Linked DNA regions of Styela clava. The protein of the gene in region 1 purifies or fractionates together with the protein of each later gene. This does not show direct contact. Links are inferred from orthologs where the notes say so. Each region holds a gene or a part of one and is shown on either strand. Other genes may lie near its edges. The genes, in order: synaptosomal-associated protein 29-like and alpha-soluble NSF attachment protein-like.

The links.
Region 2: the proteins of synaptosomal-associated protein 29-like (region 1) and alpha-soluble NSF attachment protein-like purify together in Drosophila melanogaster (affinity purification with mass spectrometry; 3 studies listed by BioGRID, with this or other methods). This does not show direct contact. The link is inferred for Styela clava from reciprocal best matches to the Drosophila melanogaster genes Snap29 and alphaSnap.

What each region holds. Positions count from the first base shown.
Region 1 is NC_135264.1:14,194,778-14,206,154, forward strand, and holds synaptosomal-associated protein 29-like, read left to right. Parts: upstream 1-5,700; 5' UTR 5,701-5,847; coding exon 5,848-6,054; intron 6,055-6,506; coding exon 6,507-6,697; intron 6,698-8,200; coding exon 8,201-8,361; intron 8,362-9,023; coding exon 9,024-9,190; 3' UTR 9,191-10,548; downstream 10,549-11,377. Other genes in the region: U3 small nucleolar RNA-interacting protein 2-like, read right to left, coding at 10,549-11,377.
Region 2 is NC_135261.1:11,685,872-11,696,869, forward strand, and holds the start of alpha-soluble NSF attachment protein-like, read left to right. Parts: upstream 1-6,374; 5' UTR 6,375-6,419; coding exon 6,420-6,569; intron 6,570-7,652; coding exon 7,653-7,811; intron 7,812-8,274; coding exon 8,275-8,397; intron 8,398-8,981; coding exon 8,982-9,208; intron 9,209-10,998. Other genes in the region: zinc finger BED domain-containing protein 5-like, read left to right, coding at 3,748-4,321, 4,810-5,234. UniProt on the Drosophila melanogaster protein: Required for vesicular transport between the endoplasmic reticulum and the Golgi apparatus. Also between the endosome and phagosome.

The DNA.
Region 1 (11,377 bases):
GCAATTGCTGCGTATACTTATCGGGGAAGTTCTGTGGCGTGGTTATCAAATGAAAAAACAAACATGGGAGTATTTTTTCTACTTCTCTACTACTATCAAACCTTGACATTTTGTGAAAACTTTTTTCCATGCAACCTTTTTTAAAACATCCCCAACAACCACAATTACTTCTGTTATTAAACTTCCGAAACAAACACATAAAATCATCAACAGATGAATATCACCAAGTAGATATTGCTGAATTGATCTTTATTTTACCATTTTGCATGTAATTCTTTTTGGTAAACCTGTTATCTGTCGTAAATACAGCACATTTGACAATGTTGTAGTGTGACTATTTTAGCCTTTAAATGAGGCGGGGTTAAAATTCGAAATTTCCGAATCAATCTCCGTGATTACATGCTTGTCTTACACTTGCACAGTGTGTCCCACATTCGAGACGATTGTCTTTCTTCCCGAACATTAAAAAAGTTGACTTTTCAGCGTATAACGATTTATCTGTCTAGTAAAATTTAGTTGTGTTCAACGTAACTCGAAATTGTATCGATTGACGGCAAAATGAAGTTATGGACAAAGGAAACTACACGGACAACGTGAACTTAAAATCAATATGTCCGCTTCTGCTTGTTTAAAGACTTGCTTGGAGTGATATCGTATACCGCCCTATTAGTAGATAGTAGCACATTACATAATCTATCGCTGGGCATAAAATAACAAATCTTTATGTGTGTGGTATCCAACTTCAACCATTGCGTGAATTAATATGTTCTTTCTGCTTGTCTAAAGCCTTACATAGAGTACTATCGTAAAACGCCCTAATAATAACTAACAGCACAATGCATAACCTGTTGCTGGATATAAAATACCAAATCTTTAGATGTGTGTGATCGTGAGGTGGCGGGCCTCATTGAGTTTGTTAACATAATCGCCGACGCCATTGAGGGTGATCAGCTCTATTTCGTTATTGTGACGTCGCAGTGGCGTAATTTTTGGATGACGAAGTCAGGTGAGGGTCAGGAATATTATATACAAAAATTGTTACGCTAAGCCTAATAGAAGTTATTGAGGTAAGAAACTACACCCATAGCGGACACACAGGCGTATTTATCACGATTGCATTATGGTCGCTATTATTAGGCAAGCTCTATTTCGTTATTGTGAATTCGCATTGACGTTATTTTTTGATGACGAAGTCAGGGCAGGGTCAGGAATATTATATGCAAAAATTGTTACGCTAAGTTAACTAGAAGTTATTGAGGTAAGAAACTACATCCATAGGTGTCATTACTAGTAATCGTCGCTATTATTGGGCAAGCGTTATTTCGTGATTGTGACGTTCCAGTGACGTAATTTTTGGATGACGAAGTCAGGTGAGGGTCAGGAATGATATATGCAAAAATTGTTACGCTAAGTTAACTAGAAGTTATTGAGGTAAGAAACTACACCCATAGCGGACAGACAGGCGTATTTAACACAATTGCATTATGGTCGCTATTATTAGGCAAGCTCTATTTCGTTATTGTGAAGTCGCATTGACGTAATTTTTGGATGATGAAGTCAGGTGAGGGTCAGAAATTTTATATGCAAAAATTGTTACGCTAAGATAATTAAAAGTTATTGAAGTAAGAAACTACATCCATAGGTGGCATTACCAGTAATCGTCGCTATTATTAGGCAAGCTCTATTTCGTTATTGTGACGTCGTATTGACGTAATTTTTTGATGATTAAATCAGGTGAGGGTCAGGAATATTACGTGCAAAAATTGTTACGCTAAGTTAACTAGAAGTTATTGAGGTACGAAACTACACCCATACCGGACACACAGGCGTATTTATCACGATTGCATTATGGTCGCTATTATTAGGCAAGCTCTATTTCGTTATTGTGAGTTCGCATTGACGTAATTTTTGGATGACGAAGTCAGGGCAGGGTCAGGAATATTATATGCAAAAATTGTTACGCTAAGTTAACTAGAAGTTATTGAGGTAAGAAACTACATCCATAGGTGTCATTACTAGTAATCGTCGCTATTATTGGGCAAGCGTTATTTCGTGATTGTGACGTTCCAGTGACGTAATTTTTGGATGACGAAGTCAGGTGAGGGTCAGGAATGATATATGCAAAAATTGTTACGCTAAGTTAACTAGAAGTTATTGAGGTAAGAAACTACACCCATAGCGGACACACAGGCGTATTTATCACGATTGCATTATGGTCGCTATTATCAGGCAAGCTCTATTTTGTTATTGTGAATTCGCATTGACGTAATTTTTGGATGACGAAGTCAGGTGAGGGTCAGGAATGATATATGCAAAAATTGTTACGCTAAGTTAACTAGAAGTTATTGAGGTAAGAAACTACATCCATAGGTGTCATTACTAGTAATCGTCGCTTTTATTGGGCAAGCGTTATTTCGTGATTGTGACGTTCCAGTGACGTAATTTTTGGATGACGAAGTCAGGTGAGGGTCAGGAATGATATATGCAAAAATTGTTACGCTAAGTTAACTAGAAGTTATGTAGGTAGGAAACTACATCCATAGGTGCCATTACGAATAACGTCGCTATTATTGGGCAAGCTCTATTTCGTTATTGTGGCGTTGCAGTGACGTAATTATTGGATGACGAAGTCGGGTGAGGGTCAGGAATCTTATATACCAAAATTGTTACGCTAAGCCTAATAGAAGTTATTGAGGTACGAAACTACACCCATAGCGGACACACAGGCGTATTTATCACGATTGCATTATGGTCGCTATTATTAGGCAAGCTCTATTTCGTTATTGTGAGTTCGCATTGACGTAATTTTTGGATGACGAAGTCAGGGCAGGGTCAGGAATATTATATGCAAAAATTGTTACGCTAAGTTAACTAGAAGTTATTGAGGTAAGAAACTACATCCATAGGTGTCATTACTAGTAATCGTCGCTATTATTGGGCAAGCGTTATTTCGTGATTGTGACGTTCCAGTGACGTAATTTTTGGATGACGAAGTCAGGTGAGGGTCAGGAATGATATATGCAAAAATTGTTACGCTAAGTTAACTAGAAGTTATTGAGGTAAGAAACTACACCCATAGCGGACACACAGGCGTATTTATCACGATTGCATTATGGTCGCTATTATCAGGCAAGCTCTATTTTGTTATTGTGAATTCGCATTGACGTAATTTTTGGATGACGAAGTCAGGTGAGGGTCAGGAATGATATATGCAAAAATTGTTACGCTAAGTTAACTAGAAGTTATTGAGGTAAGAAACTACATCCATAGGTGTCATTACTAGTAATCGTCGCTTTTATTGGGCAAGCGTTATTTCGTGATTGTGACGTTCCAGTGACGTAATTTTTGGATGACGAAGTCAGGTGAGGGTCAGGAATGATATATGCAAAAATTGTTACGCTAAGTTAACTAGAAGTTATGTAGGTAGGAAACTACATCCATAGGTGCCATTACGAATAACGTCGCTATTATTGGGCAAGCTCTATTTCGTTATTGTGGCGTTGCAGTGACGTAATTATTGGATGACGAAGTCGGGTGAGGGTCAGGAATCTTATATACCAAAATTGTTACGCTAAGCCTAATAGAAGTTATTGAGGTACGAAACTACACCCATAGCGGACACACAGGCGTATTTATCACGATTGCATTATGGTCGCTATTATTAGGCAAGCTCTATTTCGTTATTGTGAGTTCGCATTGACGTAATTTTTGGATGACGAAGTCAGGGCAGGGTCAGGAATATTATATGCAAAAATAGTTACGCTAAGTTAACTAGAAGTTATTGAGGTAAGAAACTACATCCATAGGTGTCATTACTAGTAATCGTCGCTATTATTGGGCAAGCGTTATTTCGTGATTGTGACGTTCCAGTGACGTAATTTTTGGATGACGAAGTCAGGTGAGGGTCAGGAATGATATATGCAAAAATTGTTACGCTAAGTTAACTAGAAGTTATTGAGGTAAGAAACTACACCCATAGCGGACAGACAGGCGTATTTAACACAATTGCATTATGGTCGCTATTATTAGGCAAGCTCTATTTCGTTATTGTGAAGTCGCATTGACGTAATTTTTGGATGATGAAGTCAGGTGAGGGTCAGAAATTTTATATGCAAAAATTGTTACGCTAAGATAATTAAAAGTTATTGAAGTAAGAAACTACATCCATAGGTGGCATTACCAGTAATCGTCGCTATTATTAGGCAAGCTCTATTTCGTTATTGTGACGTCGTATTGACGTAATTTTTTGATGATCAAATCAGGTGAGGGTCAGGAATATTACGTGCAAAAATTGTTACGCTAAGTTAACTAGAAGTTATTGAGGTACGAAACTACACCCATACCGGACACACAGGCGTAATTATCACGATTGCATTATGGTCGCTATTATTGGGCAAGCTCGATTTCGTTATTGTGACATCGCATTGACGTAATTTTGGGATGACGAAGTCAGGTGAGGGTCAGGAATGATATATGCAAAAATTGTTACGCTAAGATAAGTATAAGTTATCGAGGTAAGAAACTACATCCATTGCGCTAAAGCAAATTAATATGTCGGTTTCTGCTTGTCTAAAGCCTTGCATAGAGTGAAAGCGTTCCACGTCCTATTAATAAAATGTGGCCCAATACATGATCAGTCTCTGGATATTAAATAACAAGTCTTTATGTGTGTGGTACCCAACTTCAACCATTGCGTAAAATAACATGTATTTTCTGCTTGTCTAAAGCCTTGGTTAGAGTTGTATCGTATAACGCTCTATTTTAGATTGTAGCACGATACATGAGCTATTGCTGGACAGAAATTGGTCAGAATGGGATATCGTGAACGTTCCTTGGCGACAATTTAGTCGCTTGTGATTCTTGTTTATTTTGAGCTCTGTACAACGACCCCGATAAGAGAGAGGTCGCTGACGTATTGAGTTTGTTGACATACTCGTAGGCGCCATTACGGGTGACCGTCGCTATACTTTGGCAAGCTGTATTTCGTTATTGTGACGTCGCAGTGACGTAATTTTTGGATGACGTCATCAGGTGGGGGTCAGGAATCATATATCCAAAAATTGTTACGCCACGCCCACTAGAAGTTATTCAGGTAAGAAAGTACATGAGACCCGGATCGGACAGGTTTGATGCAAGTTGCAGAGTTGTGCTGGAACCACAGTGACTACGGCTGTAGTCACTTTGCTGCTTTGGCTAGAACCAGTGTGTTTTAGGTATTTCTGTTTTTGCAATGGCTGAGACTGAATGTGTGATTTAAATATTTTTTACTCAGATTCTTGCCAGTTTTCCCTATCTTTTGTGTGTTCATGGTTATATTTTGGTGTATGTGTACATTTTTCTAGTGGGATAAAAGTAAACTTATTGTTATAATAATAAGTATAACTTTATTTCGACTCTGTAATCATCATACAGTCATAACAGACAATAAAATGATTGATAAAAACATAAAGAGGTGAGAGGAATGATATGTTCACTCACCCAAAAATACAGAAATATGAAATTAATTCACATACATACCTATACCTGTATTCGGATATTATACAACTCTATACGACTGACCTGGCTTATTTCGGTATTTCAAAGATTTCTTTCAAAAGAAACATTGGTCCTATAAAAAATCACTTCAGCCCATTTTCAGATTTTTGATAAAATTGCTAAATTACAGAATTACGGGACTTATATTCTTTGTCTTCATTTACAGATAAATTTCTGACTTTAGTAAGGTAGGGTAATATTATATATTTTGACGAACGTATTTGTAAGCTAACTGTATCACAAAACAAGACTATATCTCTGGAAAACTGCTATACTCGGACTACTAATTTTATTTTATGAAAATTTTGCAAAATGTCTGGAAATCCATGGTTGGATGACGTGGAGTCGTCGTCACGTCCGCCAAATCGATGGGCAGATGATGACGAAGAAGATTTTGATCCAGATAAAAACTATCTTGAACAAGTTGTCAAACGTAAAGAAGTTGATATGGTTGCAAGCACCCAAAGATCATTAGGAATGATTTATGAATCTGAGCAAGTGGGAGCAGCTACTGGGGAGGTAAATATACATATAAAATAAATGTACAACCTAATTTCCTATTACATGTTTCCCTAATTCTCTAAAGTCAAGCCGAGTCATGGTCTCATGTCGAGTCGATCACTGAGTTAAGACTCGCCTGGCGATTATTTAGAGTACGACTCTGGGTCACTTTCGAGTATTCAATGAATGAGGACTCAAGTTTAGTCAATGTCCTAAGTCTCCCAAGCACTGTTTATCATCATGTTAGTTTGTAATGAATAGTCCTCCATATTTATTGCTCAGGTGCTTTGATGTATTGATAGACCTTTGGAATAGCCTTAGATCATTGTAAGCGTGGCCTATAAGGTACACAAGTGGAGAGTTTCAACTTCCAGTAGTAGGGACATCCTTAAACATTCAGTCCTGACAGTGGAGTATTATTCAATTTTTCCGTGTCCAGATGTCTTATTATCATTAACTTTATATTACAGGAGCTCATAAGGCAAGGCGAAGCTTTAAAACGCACTGAACAACGGGTTGACCGAATGGAACAAGATTTAAAAGAAAGCGATCGACATATCGCCAGTATAAAAAGTTTATGGGGAGCTTTTGTCAATAAATTCAGGAAGGAACCTGCACCAACTCCAGTCACAACATATGATGATTCACAACCAGACTCACGGTTAGTTTTAGTCAAATATGGCCCACCTTGGTATATGACTAAGTAAAACAGATTGATTTCATAGAAGTTTTTTTCGTGTGATACAGGATACTAAAATATAAAGCTCTCGATAACATGTTATTAAAAGATTGGCATTGATATTCAAATTTCTTTCTTTAATAAAATTCTAGGAACAGCAGTTCAGTTTTCATAGTGTTTTTGTGCAGTGCAGGAGTGATGGTATATAATGCTGGAAATATCATTCGTGATCAACTTTTCTTTTTAGCGATTGAGTGAGACATATATTTTTATTGGCATAGTCAATGCTATTTCAAGGGTGTTAATGACCATTTTTGAATGTTCAAAATTGATTTATTTATACATCGTATAATTTGTCCTACTTTGCAATTCTGATGCATAAGTATCAAATTATAAATATCTGAATTTTTTTTAAATGGCTTTAAATTGGTTTTTATCGAGGTAAATCCAATAGATAATTTAATTGGACTCCTGTTAGTCTAGAATGTAATTGGTTTTGAGCATATTTATTATTAACAGGGATTTATGATTAGGATTAGTCTTCATTAGGAAGTGAAATCTTAGTTTAATTTACTGAAATTATTTATTATGATTATAATTCAATCATCATATTGATAGTTTCAGTTTCAATAGTTATATAATGTTAATTATAATTTGATGTAGTGTGTGCTTGTAGCATAACTTATTCTTGCTTGGCCTACGTATATGGCCTATATATATTGTTGGGTTCCATTACATTTGAACCCACGTACATTTGAACCCATGACAATTGCACCTGTATGCTATTGCACCTATGGAATTTTTTTGTTTTTCGGATAGTTGAACCCACACTAACCCTAACCCGTGGATATACACATGGGTTCAAATGTACGTGGGTTCAAATGTTTGGTCACCATATTGTTGGTGTTATTTTCTATAATGAGTTGGTGTTGTGATCATGAATGCTATGTTTCACCGTGTAGAAAGTTTAGACAAGTTATATCAATAGTTGACCTTTGAATCATCATATGATTCATTTCCCCCTTTTGGAACAGAGTAAAGTTATTGTACGAAGTGACCTTTACAATAAGCTGTTTCACATGGCTATTTTAGCTGACTGAGAGTCATTGATGTGAAATGAGGACATGTGAAACAAAATTGTTTTGCTGTCAAACCCTATTCTCTTGCCAAACATAGCCATATATGAACCATTAGACTTCCATGTATAATTCCTAAATTATTTCTAAATAATGTTGAATGTAAAAGGATATCGGAAATATTCACATTCCATTCCAAACTTTGAGCCATTTGAAAAAGACTGCTTGACAAAAAATTTGTCTCTGGCACCAGAAAGATAATTTAGACTCCAGCTCTTCTCTCTAAGAAAATCATATTTCTAATGAACACAAATGTTGTTACTGTAGTTGGAGAAATCTGTGGACGAAAAGCAGCTATCATAGCAAAATCTCCCTAACTAGGTTTTCAAATTTAAATCTTCTTTTCCAGGTTAGGAAAGGCCGTCGTGAATTCCAAAGTATCTGGATATCAACCTGAAGAAGATCATCCAGTATTGTTAAGACAAGATGATTCCAGGGAAAGATATGGAGCAGGATATAGCCAACAACAAGCTAAGAATGAGAGAATGGCACAAGTCGATGATAACTTGGGTTTGTCTCGAATTTATTGCTGCCTATTTATGTCTGTTAATAAGATTCAAATATAGTATGATTTTGTTTGCTCAAGTCCATGCATCTGAAATAAATAAATGCTTAACTAACTCCATACCTGGATTGATACCCAGACGAAGTCCGCCATATGATTATGCAGTCTTATCGTCTTTCCCTGCCCCGATGATAATCAAAGTAATAGGAAGTGATAGGACTTCCATATGACTGATGTCAGGTATATAGTTTGGGTATGGAGAATGGGACATATTATTACTGAATATTACGATGTAGCGAATATAAATACCATACATCGTGAAATTTATGATTACACAGCAAAAAAACTTAGTATTAGAGGTTGAGGCTAACCTTTGTCTGAGTACTTACTGAGTACTATTGGGAAAAAGTCTGTGAAAAAGTAATATTCCTATTATCAAAGCTACTATCAGAAATTTTTGTTAAACAACACTACAGCTCCCTAAACCTGAGTGGCGTGTTAAGTCAGATCAGGGATTATCTGATTAATTAATGAGTCTGGGTGGTCGTCTCATTTTATGACTCAAGTCACTCATGAGTTTTAACGATAAATGGTGACACGAATGCAACCTGACTCAAGTCTTATTAACACTGGTAAACACCAAATATCCTTGTTATCTCTATTTCAGATCAAATTTCTTCGGGATTACGAAGGCTCAAAGATCTTGGAATTGGTTTAGGAGAAGAAATTGAATCACAGGATAGGATTTTGACAAGGCTTGGTGATAAGGTCGAAAGAGTCGATAATAAGACACACATTACTAGCAAGCAGTTAATGAAATTGAATCATTCATAGGCTTTAAAATATGTTGCTATTTTTGTCCATATATTATTGTAGTATTTTTCATAGATGTGATTCCTAAAAAAAGTAGAAGCGGCTGAGCATTAATGAATAATTTGTAAAAATAATGATGAAATTCAACATATTGCTTCTTGAATTGAATAGCGGTTTTCTGATCCACTGGATGCATGTCTCAGTTTATTTGTGTATTCCTTGAGTTTGTTTTTAGCGAGATTTTTCTAGTAGGGATGGCCAAAATCAAATACATCCGGAAACGTTTTTGAATAAGAAGAATATTTCAAAAATAGCTCGTGAATTTCAGTCGTAATGCAGGATGTTTATTCATATTCTCTTTCCCAAAAGTTTATTTTTGTCTGATGATAAACCTTAAAATACCCAATCAAGATCTGACTTTATCATTCTGCGCATCACTCACTATACTTCACCTTTCTATAAATAGTAGAACATAGTAATTAGAAATTCGAGACTAATTTTTATTATTGAAGCATAAGGCCCATTGACGCTCCTAATATTTAAAAACAACCTTATGGTTCCTTGTATTATTTTTTGTATATAGTTTTTCACACTGATGTAAAAGATATGAAGTGTGGCATATTATTAAAGCTTATTATAACCATTTTCTTTCTATTATAAACCTTGGAAAGGATGTTCACTGTATAGAATACCTACAGTGTAGGTGTGAAATTGATGATCTTCCATTTAAGGTTCTAATAAAGCCTAGTTTAAGCCAATATTTATTAGAAATCCTTGCCAATAAACCTGCCCCCAATAGTGCTGTGATCTGTGCAAGGTTCCAATAGTAACAGATTTGTATCCTTTACTTTGCTAAAATATGTGATGACTGAGTATATAGTCTTTAAGTCTTATGTGATCGGCGGGATTATTATAGTTATAAGTATGTTATAGACTTCTATGGGTCAATCAAGAATTATATTCAGATGTTAATATAAGATTTGTTTGCTATTCTTCTGAGATGCCTTCTTAATAATAACTAGTTTTGGACTCGAGGACTGCCAGAGGCGTTTAGAAATTTCTGTTCACTGGGTCTGGCCGGAAATTGTGGCTCTTCAAGGGTCTAGTTGTGGCTACGAAAAATAGCTATTTTTGCATTTCAAAAGCGGGGGATCCAACACCTCAATAGCTGTTCCCTGCTTTCTATACTAGACTGAAGATATTGCGTATAATATATGGACTGGCTTATATTATAAGGTTTAGTAAACTATTTATTGAAATAGTTTATAATGAACATGTAAATTTATGCAATGGAATACGAACGTGCATCTGGCTGGGGATTTTTGAAGTCTAAACCTTGTACACAAATAACTCCACAATGTGTGCAATGCTAATGTATTTCATGCCTTTTCCTCAAATAAAGATACAATTATGATAGAGTTTCTTGCTTCTTTTAGACACCACCATCTTCCCAGTCTGTGTTCTTGTCCCACACCTATAAAAAGCTTATTCCCAGTCGGTGAAAATTGTAAACTGTTCACAAATCCAACAACTGGTATATCAAAAAGGTGTTCAATGGTTAAAAATTTGGGTCCGCATTTCCAGATTTTTACTGCTCCGTTAGACGAGCCAGTTGCCACTAAATCAGAGTTTATTAAAGCTGTGACGGCAGTTATCCAAGGGCTTTTACTACTCGAATCCGGATGTGCATTTTTTACACAAGTAGTCGGCTTCTTTTTCATTACACTCCATAGACAAATTGACCCATCATCCGCTCCAGAGATGAAATATTCTTCGTTGATAAGTTTTAGGCAGTCTATGGATCCATTGTGACCGTGATAGACAAGTTGCGATTCTTCAGCTATTTTCCAAATTCGTATTGATCCATCCCGTCCACCAGCTGTGGCACATCTCTCCCTGGACAGGCTGTCACATGCTTGGACCAGGTCCTGATGTCCGAATAACGTCTCTACATAACCCATCGCATCAAGGTCCCAGACCTTAACACAGCGATCAAACGAACTTGAAAAAAGTTGGTGTGAATTCAATCGAAAAGCAACACCGCTTACGGCACCTCGATGGCCTTGAAAATGATGCAGGTGTTCCATTGTTTCCGCCTTCCACACATGTATCATTTTATCCATGCTACCAGAAACCAAAAATTCACCATCAGTTGAAATTGCAAGGCATAAAATATGGGCAGTGTGAGTAATTTTAGGGTCACTTCGA
Region 2 (10,998 bases), on another chromosome or scaffold:
TCTAAGCTGTTGGCAACTATTATGATTCTCATATACCTTTAAGCTTCAAGACTTCTTGTTTAATCCATTTTATAGCACTGATAGCAGCGGGGATCAGAGCCTGCGTTAGGTCGGATTGGTGGAACATTGCCGTTTTCTTTTGTAGTACAGTATCTAAAATAAGGAAGAAAATAATATTTGGAGCAGCATGATTTTAAAAATACCCCTAAATACTAACTAATACCTTGAATACATACCGTAATGCATTTTATCTGATGTACTAAATGAGCGTATATATGCTCATTGCATGTTCTACAGTCCAGCAGTGTTTGCATACCATTACTAGACTATATCTACACTAAATTTTGATATATCACAGTCTGAAATGTCCCATGACAGTACAGCAGTATGAGTATGGACTAGGCTATAGACTATATTTTGAAACATCAACTGTTTGTCTACAACTTCATTTCTCACCTCTCAATCATTTCCAATGCTACCGTACCTTTCTTTCCACTCCGGCATAACTTATGATTGCTTCCCAGGTTCTTGTCGACTCTATGAATTTAGATTTAGACTAACCGACATTAGTAAAATTGATTAATTTCTTCTCTTTCACACAACCGTGCATTACAGAAACAGCCATTCATTTCTATTTCCAAATATGCTGTGGCCTATATAGTAGTATAAGTCTGCTGAATAGTCAAGAAGAGTCATTAAATTAATCATAAACATTTCATGCAAGCCAGAAAATATCGTTGTTTGTGACATATTATTCTAGGTCTAGCCTTCCTTGGAGTTACCGCACCGTACCGGTACCTATTTAACAACGTCTTATGAGCTAGTGCTCAACTAAAATTGCTATTTATGGCAAGGATATACAAGTGTTTAATATCTTACCTATACTTTTCAACACCTCCTTAGAATAACTGGACTAATATTACCGGTAACTGAAAAAAACTATGGAAAGGCTACTCAACGCAAAAGCGAGCAGTTGAGTACATCTGATATTCATCCGACCACTGGGGATCCACCTACAGCTGACTAACTTGACTGTTACGTCGTGCAGAAGTCTGCGTTCATTGGCCCATGATACCGGAAAAGCAGAGAAAATAGGACAGATGGTAACACATATTTATTGTAGTAAAAGCGTCTTTTCTGTAAAACGTGCAACTTTTGTAAGTGGGAACAAGGCAATATTTGTTACTAAATTTCTAAGGAACATTTTAAAATCATTTTCAGGTAGTTACCTGATGTGCGCTACGAAACTGAAAGATAAATGTCCTCGGCTCGCGGCCTAGTCGCTCGATGATTTTCGAAGCAATAATCTGTCAGAACCAAGTCGTGCGTGGCGGCGAATCCAACATCGGGACCAAATTTCCGGAGTTGCACGGGGTTGCCCTAACCAACGACTAAGGGCCACTGAGGTGTATATACAACTCAATGCCAAGGACTAACCGGTATGTCAGTCGTTGGGACTAACAGAGAAACCATGTGTCATCTATAGCAGTGCTCTTCAACCGGGTATACTGTATACCTAAGTGTATACCAGACCATAAGTAGGGTATACAATAGGGTTGCCATACCGTCCGGAAAATTCCGGACATGTCCGGAATTTAGGGTTAAATTTTGCGTCCGGGAGGAATTTAAAAAAATGCTCAAATGTCCGGAATTTTACTGCATCTGCAATCGTAATGTGCACACCGCTAATACAGAACATTGTTATTTCGTACCGTGCGCATATTTTTACTACGAGGTTGTATGAAATTGTAATATAACAGAGCGTTTTCCTTATCAATGGTGTTAAAGTTGCAAACTTTGCAAATGCTTTTAGTACTTGTGCAAATGGATAAAACCAATGGAAGAGTTTACTTATTTCAAATGGATAACCTTGAACGAGATACCAAGTTGGAAGGATGTAAAGCAGGGGTTGGCAACCTACGGCCCGCAGGCCGGATCCGGTCCGCGGAGCAATATAATCCGGCCCGCGACGCTTCACTGGATTATAGTAACAAAACAGCTGTTTTAACGATTATATTCTTTACATAACAGAATTAATTTTGCGACACGCGTAGGCTAAATTATGTTATAACCTTATAGCAACTTACCCCCAAATGTACCCCATTTCATGTTAAAAATATGAAAACAAAGTTAATTTCTCTCAAAATTCGAACAAAGACTTTCGTAGGAATCAAATTACACCAGGTTTAAGAACATAACAAGTTCCACCCAGTCATTATCAAATTAAAATCTATATTCTCAAGACCTTTGGCACTGATTGAAATAATTATATCTAAGTTCCCATCCGTACGATGTACATAATTACCCTTGTTGAGATAATAGGAATTTCTGTTTATAACGTGAATCACGAGCTCACGTTTACAGCATTTAATTGGATTTATGATCAACGTATAAATATGACTCCGATATCTTTCGATAAGGAGATGGAAAAGAGGGAAGACGATGTAAATTGTAAACCATTCAAAGCTAGTGTGGATAAATGTTATAAGATTTATATTCTGTGTATCGTGGAAATCTGAGAATAAAATCAAACAGAGTTTTCTAAAGTTTCCTTCATTCACGTGGGCGTTGAAGCTGAAGGGTGAACGGGTAACTTGCAAGTCAGAGACAATCTACGAAATAGCAATATACGGTAATATCATATTCATCTAACAATCATTTATGCTATAACCTAACAAGTATATAATTCACAATTGCACGTTTAATGACCCTATAATTTAATTATAATTACTCAAATGGCAACAAAACGCAGAAAAGTTGATGCTTAGCGCAAATGGTTTAATGGTGCAGAAAATATTCCAATGGTCAGTCTTCGTGCACTGCTCTAAATTTAACTTCTAATCTGTGTGAAAAAGTGTGATTCATCGGCTATCCGTTCGGTTTTCAACATTCTAAAAATATGAGGCCCGCCAATGACTTGCAACCTTTGGTTTTGGCCCGCGAGCGACAAAAGGTTGCCGACCCCTGATGTAAAGCCTTGCCTGGAAAATCTGATTAGTAAACGGGTTGATGTGGACGATGATAAATGATTTGACCAATTCTGTAACTTGAAGCAGTTTGTGGAAAGTTACCTACAAGACGAAGAATTTATTAAACTGCCAACGCATGAGAAATGGTGCAAATATTTCGATCAGTCTACGAACATCACATGCCACTCCGAAATTTTAAGGATTGAACAGTTTTCCTTTGCTATTACATCCCACAATGCCAATATTGTAGAGAGAGTCTTTTCACTGATGCAAAGTCAGTGGACTAAAGAGAGAAACAATTTGCGACTATAAAAGGCATGTTGACTCCCCAATATAATTTCAAAGATATGCACTGTAGTGAATTGTTTTCATTTTTGAAATCAGACAAGGAGAGAATGAGGTCTTCAGAAAAATTTGCATGGTCAGGAGAGTAAGTTTGTAGTGATTGTCTTTAATTCGTTTTAAGCATGTAATTGCTGTTCTTCCGTTTTGGCACAATCTAATTCTCATTCTTATTTTTCACTCTGAAGTTGAGATTTTTTCAGTCGACGGCCCGTAGCTATATTTAGAGTGTGCTTACCTGCCTGGTGTGAGATTCTGCTTGTAACTGAAGACAATACTTTTCATTTCGGTAGCTGGCGCTTTAGCATGAGTATCGTACAACGTTAGCATGAGTATCGTACGGCCTTAGCATTTCGGTAGCGCATATATATGGTCTCATGAAAATAGGGACCTCCTGAAAGAAGTATGTGCACCAAGATGGCGATAACATCACATGATGAAAGTTAAACGCCCGTACACAGAACTTGAACGTGTAGTGCTACCTTGTTTAGAAATTGTGGCTGACTTGATTCATGGTGGAACAAAAGCAGTTGACAAGGTCAAAAAAATTGCTGTTTCTGACACTACTGTATGGCGACGATGTGCCGTTATATCCGCAGATTTAAAAGAACAACTAATTCAGAAGTTACTAGAAGCCTCCTCCTTTGGCATTCAGTTGGATGAAAGCACTGATATAAGCAGTGAGTCTCAGCTCATGGTGTTCTGTAGATTTCCGGACATAAAATCTAACAGGATAGTTGAACATTATCTATTTTGTCAACCAGTTGAAGAAAAGGCAACTGCTGAAGCAATTTTCAATAAAATAAACGAGTTCTTTGAAGAAGAAGGGTTAGATTGGTCAAAGTGCAAATCGGTTACAACAGATGGAGCAGCAGCTATGCGAGGCTCACAGAAAGGTTTGATCGAGAGAATTAAGCGAAAGTCTCCAGAATGCATAGGAATTCATTGTATTCTCCACCGCGAGGCATTAGTAACAAAGAAACTTGAACTGAATGCAGGTGACGCTAGTGGTAGGATAGGATTTACATATTTATCCCGGGGGAGAGGAAAGCCGATAAGACGGCTTATCCATATGGCGAACCACGGCCTCTCGTCCGGTTACCATTCCAAGTCGGGTATGGGATTAGTTTTTACTGTATTGTTTGTTTTCGGAAGCATGGACTTGGTGGTGGAGGAAGCCGTAACCGACCAGCGGTTACGTGAACCACCCAACGACGGCGAGGAGTCCAGCAATCCTCTCGCACATAACCATCCCTGCATGGGATTCGAACCTGCGAACCCACGCAGAGTAATTAGAGGTGCGGTGGCGAGCGTATTCCTAACGCTTAGCCCGTTGAGCCACACCGCCGCGCCGGTAAAGAAAATGAATTACACGATGTTCTACGGGAGGTCGTATATTTTGTGAATACGATCAAGAAAAGTTCAAAACAAACGAGACTTTTCTCGAAACTATGCGAGGAAACAGCCGCCACTTCCAAAAAACTTCTTTTACATTCAGAAGTACGGTGGCTGTCCCGAGGAAAAGTTCTTTCTCGTGTGTTTGAACTTCGAGAACAATTAGGGGCGTATTACACTGAACGAGGAGACCAAAAAGCCAACAGGTTTCGTAATATATATTGGATTGCAAAATTAGCGTACATGGCGTCGATTTTTGATCGTTTGAATCAAGTGAACGTCAGTCTTCAAGGGAAGGGAGGTGATATATTTCGATCGACTAGCAAAATCAATGCTCTGAAGATGAAAATTCAACTCTGGAAAAATAATGCTTCTTCGAGAAACTTCATTGACTTTCCCCTGTTAAGTCAATATTTGAAAGAGTCTGGGTGGGAGTTTGAGGACGTTTCAACGATAAATACCATGGTTATGAACGAATTGCCGAAACTATGCAAGAACAAAGAAGCCACTGAAACTACACTAAATTAATTGCGTCTGTCAGTAAAAACTAAAAGAAGCATTTATAATGACTCGCCCCGCCACTTCGATTTTAGTTTTTATACAATCTGTTCCTAACATTTATTGCTCATTTTAGCTTTAAATAAACATTGGTAATTGTAAGGTATACAAAGTTCTCGTAAAATTGTAAAAGGTATACCACGAAAAAAAAGGTTGGAGAACACTGATCTATAGTGTCATGGCAGCGTTAGGAGTGCTCGAAATAAGTAACACTAGAGGGACCAAAAGTGACTCAGTCATCATTATAAAAAGGACGAGCTCGATCAAAATAAACCTGCAGTATTTATTTCAGAGCTGCGGTTCTTTCAGTTCCGAATTTCTATAATTCTTTTTATTCTATAATTCAGATTCAGAACAGAACTTTGTATATTGAAATAGCTTGTTCAACTACAGAACTACCGGTACCGGTAACTTACCTGATAAATAAAATGAACAGTTACAGAATTACGATATATACCGTAACGTTACAGGTACCGGTATCTCTGTATACTACAGGGGTAGTCTACCGTAGTCCGTGTATACTGATACTGTGGTGTATAAGTATAACAGTAACGTATACGGTTATAAGTTTATTTCGACTCCATAATCAGCAATAGACAATTAAAATAATTGATAAAAACAAAATAAATAAAACTGATTATAGAATCGGGAAAGCAAACGAAACCTCAAGTAAGGTTTAAAGCGTACAGATTTTAGCCTAGTTCTGTAGGTGGGAAGTTATCGATAAAATAAGTACGGTACTTTAGTATGGTACCTAGTCTGGTGTTCGCTTACCGGTACCCAAAAGTATTAAAACTAATTAAGGCACGCACACACTGACATACAATCATCAAGACTGAAACATGATAAGATCGGGAGTAAAAAAAGCGAGAAAATAAAATCCAATTAGCCTACTCAGTAAAAAAGAAAAATATAGGGTACATGGTCTGGAAATACCGCCTTGGTTTTGCGGCAGCTGCAGACGCCACAGAATACTTAAAACTGCACTTGATGGAATTAGTCAACAAGAGTTATATAATGTGGATAGAAAAATATTCCTCAAAAGATATCATCAAGCTGATTACTGGTACTGTAAGTTCGTAACATTATATTTGTATATCTGTATTATAGTCTGATAGTATAAGTTAGATTTGTTACAAACATTAATATCGAACTATGGATAAAGAACAAGAGGCCTGCCAGTTGATGGCTGAGGCTGAGAAAAGCCTCAACTCATCAAAGGGATTTTTCTCTAAATTACTAGGATCTGGATCTAAACAAGAAGAAGCATGTGAAAAATTTGTTCGGGCAGCAAATATGTTTAAGGTGAATTTGTATGATATCTTTACATCTCAGCTTGTAGGCTACTGTACATCATTTCTTCTACTATCATTATTCTGATATTAGTTTTTAAAGTCAATAATTTTTGTAACAGTATGCAGTACCGTATGCCACAGTTCTCCGATTCCAAGATATCTTGACATTTTGTTCAATAAAACTTTTACTTGATTTGTCTATGAAACGAGGCCATCTGGCATGACGGCAGCTCAGGAAGGTTTTGACAATATTGGTTGATGTCCCTCCTTCATACCTTTCAATCATGTTTGGTGTCCTATTGGTGCAGTATTTATAGATAGCTTCTATAGCCTCACATGGTTTCACAATGCATGTTTAGTTTTGACTTGATACTGCTTGTGAAAACAAATCTGTGTGTGTGATTTCTATGTGGAATTTTACTCATCATAATAATACAAGAATTAAATTGATCAATTTAATCTGTTGCTTTAAGGAGAATACTTTGAAACATGCAGTAATTTTTTTTGATCTTCGATCCACTTTCAGTATACCTGATATCTTGGAGATCTTCATCCTGTCACAAACTATTTCCAAATAATACACAGCAGAAAATAGGTGTCACTTTATATGCGATCTCAGTAATTTAGTATTATGTTATTATCTGACCCTAAATTAACGGTGACATGGTTAGGTTCAGGAATTGAACTCAATGAAAAATTATGAAATTCGTTGAACGCATACGAAAGTGTCACCACAATTGATCCCACTTTAATATTCGATTGAGATCATGTGTGGCTAGTGAGATCACATACCAAAGTAGTTATTTGATGCTGAGATCGCATACCGAAATAGCATCAGAAAATACTATAAGTAATATCAAAATTTGTGTATCTTATGTTATTGGGTACGTGCATCTCAGCTCAGCTCAATTTTCTTAATTTGCCGATAAAACTGTAGTCTTTCCAATGTAGCATAAAATTATAACATATCTTATAAATCTATAAATTCAATTTGAATATGCATTTCATGCATTAATGACTTTTTACCGTATAGTAATTTCAGATCATAGGTTATCGTCGTTATATATAATTTTTCGTTTGTTCTTTGCTCCAGATGTTGAAAAAATGGAACGAAGCAGGAAATGCATTCTGTAAGTCTGCAGATATTCAACAATCACTACAGAATAAACACGAGTCGGCTTCCAATTTTGTTGATGCTGGGAATTGTTATAAAAAATCAGATGCAGATGCGGCTATCAAATGTTTGACAAGGGTGAGATGAACATATTATTGCTTAGTAGGATTGTACGTTTTTGGTTAGTTTAGTAAAAACTTTATTTTCGCATTAGAATCACAAAAAAATGATTTGTGTTATCTAGTTTTTTTGCAAAGAAATTTGATTTGATCAAAGATCCTGTTATTCTAGTAACAGGTAATAGGATACGAATAGTTTGAATTTTGAAGAATGGGAATTTATAATTTTGCTCATTTCCATTGCCTCCAGTAATTATAGAAGGTTTGTGCATTGGCTCGGCCATTTCCATTCCTTATTACGGTTAATAAATCGAAATATAATTAATTAAACTATGATAGCCAATGTCTTGCATTCATGCAAAACTATGCATAAATTTGTGTATAATGTTTCTATTCTAACTTTTATTTACAAATTGACTATCGCCACATAAAATAAATATACAAATGATTTTATGAAAACATAAAAATAATGTTTAATACAGGCTATTGATATTTATACTGATATGGGGAGATTTACAGTTGCTGCAAAACATCATATATCCGTTGCGGAAATTTATGAAAACGAGACTTCAAAACTTGAAGAAGCCATTTCTCATTATGAGCGAGTAGGTCTATTTTTTCACATATTCTTCTTATACATTTTATTATTTTGTTGTGTAAAATGACCATTCTGATTTTACAATTCGTTTGATGTTATTTCAGAATACAGCACAATGTTATTCACAAAAACTATCACTGATAATAAATAACATGTGAAAATTGGAGGCTGTATAATATTGATATGACTGGTAAATGTGTTTTTTAAAACTTCATGTATAATTTAAAGCCATTGACATAGAGATTTCGACTAATGGGTTCCGATATGGCTTGTATTAGGTTACAGATTTGATTTGATGGGGTAATAAAAATGATAGCACCAACATTATATGCCAGGTGTGAAAGTAAATTGTGAGTTCAAATAAAGTGGGAAGTTGGATGTTATTCGAATTTGTAATCTGAGCATTTATTAGAATTGATCTAGAATTAACTTAACATTGTACACCACTGATCATATACATTTTTGAAGATTCAAGAAAGTATTTTCAAACAACCTTGCAGGCAGCATAAAATGTTTTCTTTTAGGTTGGGCAGGCCTGCTCACTGTATAGTACTTCCACCACAATATTAACCAAAATTTCTGTTTGTATAGGCTGCAGATTTTTATAAGGGCGAAGATTCGACGAGTAGTGCAAATAAGTGCTGGTTGAAGGTGGCGGCCTATGCAGCTCAGCTTGAGCAATATACAAAAGCCATAGAATTATATGAGCGTGTTGGAATGTCATCAATGAATAGTCCGTTGTTAAAATATTCGGTGAAAGAGTACTTCTTCAAATCAGCACTCTGCCATTTTTGTTTGGGTGGAACAATCGATGCAATGTAAGTGATTTACATGTTACTATTGATTTATTGACTTAATAAATTGAGTCTAAATCTCATTAACTTTGAGGAAATATGAACTCACTCACAAGCACCTGAGTCGGGATGATCTGTACGGATTCAGTCTCCGAAAAATCTGTTAAATTGCCTTATCCAACTTACTGAATGCCTTTAGGTAGGATTATCAAAAATTTTATTTATAGAGAAAAATCACCATATTCATGATTATTCACAGTTGAATGAAAGCACTGAGAATTCTAGACGTCGTATTTACAATCGAGATTAAAACTATTAAGTTGGGGGCTGGGGCATTACAGCAGTGCCAAAGGTGACACTACCTTGACTACGGACTCATTCCATACCGTTCCAAATCCCCACGATGACAGTTCATAATTTATTAAGCGTGTCTGGCCATTTACAAATCGGGTATCAGTGAAGTAGGTGACTACCTTATCGTCTGTTTCTATAATGTTGACTTGTATAAAGTGGTTTGTACTATGGTGCAGCAGATGTTGGAATTTGATGTTCAAAATCAGCCATATTTTATTAATTTTATTCAAAGGAAATAGATAAAGCTTAATCATATGAAATGGTGATATTTTCGTACTAAATATCAGATATAAAAGTAACAGCGTTATCAACTCATTATCAGGGAATAAAAGTTTCAACTTTCAATCTTAAATAATCAGACCATTGTTTTTTTGTTAATCATATTTACGTCAATTATGATTATGAGATAATCACTCATTTCCTGACAATTGTTATTGTGAGTCAGAGAACTGTGAAAGCTGAAAAAGTCAGCTGACTATAAATAATTTAGTGTGGGATGCATACTTCAAATCACCTGGGTATCCTTGAATATGAATCATTTTACAAAGTATTTATTCAACTGGGTCTTTTAAAAAATATTGTGAATGAAGAATGAAATTCCTTGTGAGGGTTTACCAGAAGATAAGTCTCGAGCAACAACAGAACAGAAAAGTATATTTTGCTATCATCAAAGTGTTGAGACTTTCACATACTGGTTTATTAACCATGGAAGTGGACTTGTGGGGAAAAAATTCTTTTCTCTCCAGGACTCCAGCTAATGGATCAATCAATTTCAATCTGTAATTCTACTTTACTACTGTATCTATGTATTTGGTGATATAGTATGAGATTTCATAATATCAGCATAAATATATAAATGTGTGTAACTCATGCCTCTGATTACTGTAATATTCCTAATTTTTCTTGTCTTGGCTTCAACTGCTATCAGGTAATGTGGGTAAAAGTTGTTTTGACAGAAAAAAAATTTAGAATAATGATCAGATCTAATGCATTTGCAAAGACTATAAATTTACACCATTTTTACAATTTGATTCAAATTCAGTTCAAGTTTTTAATAGTTATAGATGGAAGTAGTCGAAAGAAAGCTATTACTTCAATTCTTTTTTTTCAAATTTTCTCACAGGTTTTATGAGGCTTGATATTTTATCTGAAAAGAAGACATTTTGTTCTGTATTACTAGTCCACCTTCATATCGTTCTTCTACAGTTCTACCCATGTTTTCGGCAAATACAGTGCTCTCAGTCCTTCCTCCACTGATTCACGATCTTCGTGTCTATGTATATGAGATTTTAGCATTACCCACTTATTATAATTGTGATAAAGATGATACTAAATGTCCAAAAGGCAATAGACTATTCTCAGCAACCTAAATTAGTGTTAGGGAGAAAATTGCTAAATATTGGAAGCAAACTATCAGAAATGTAATCCCTGTTTCGTTGCAATCTAATTAGATTCATCTA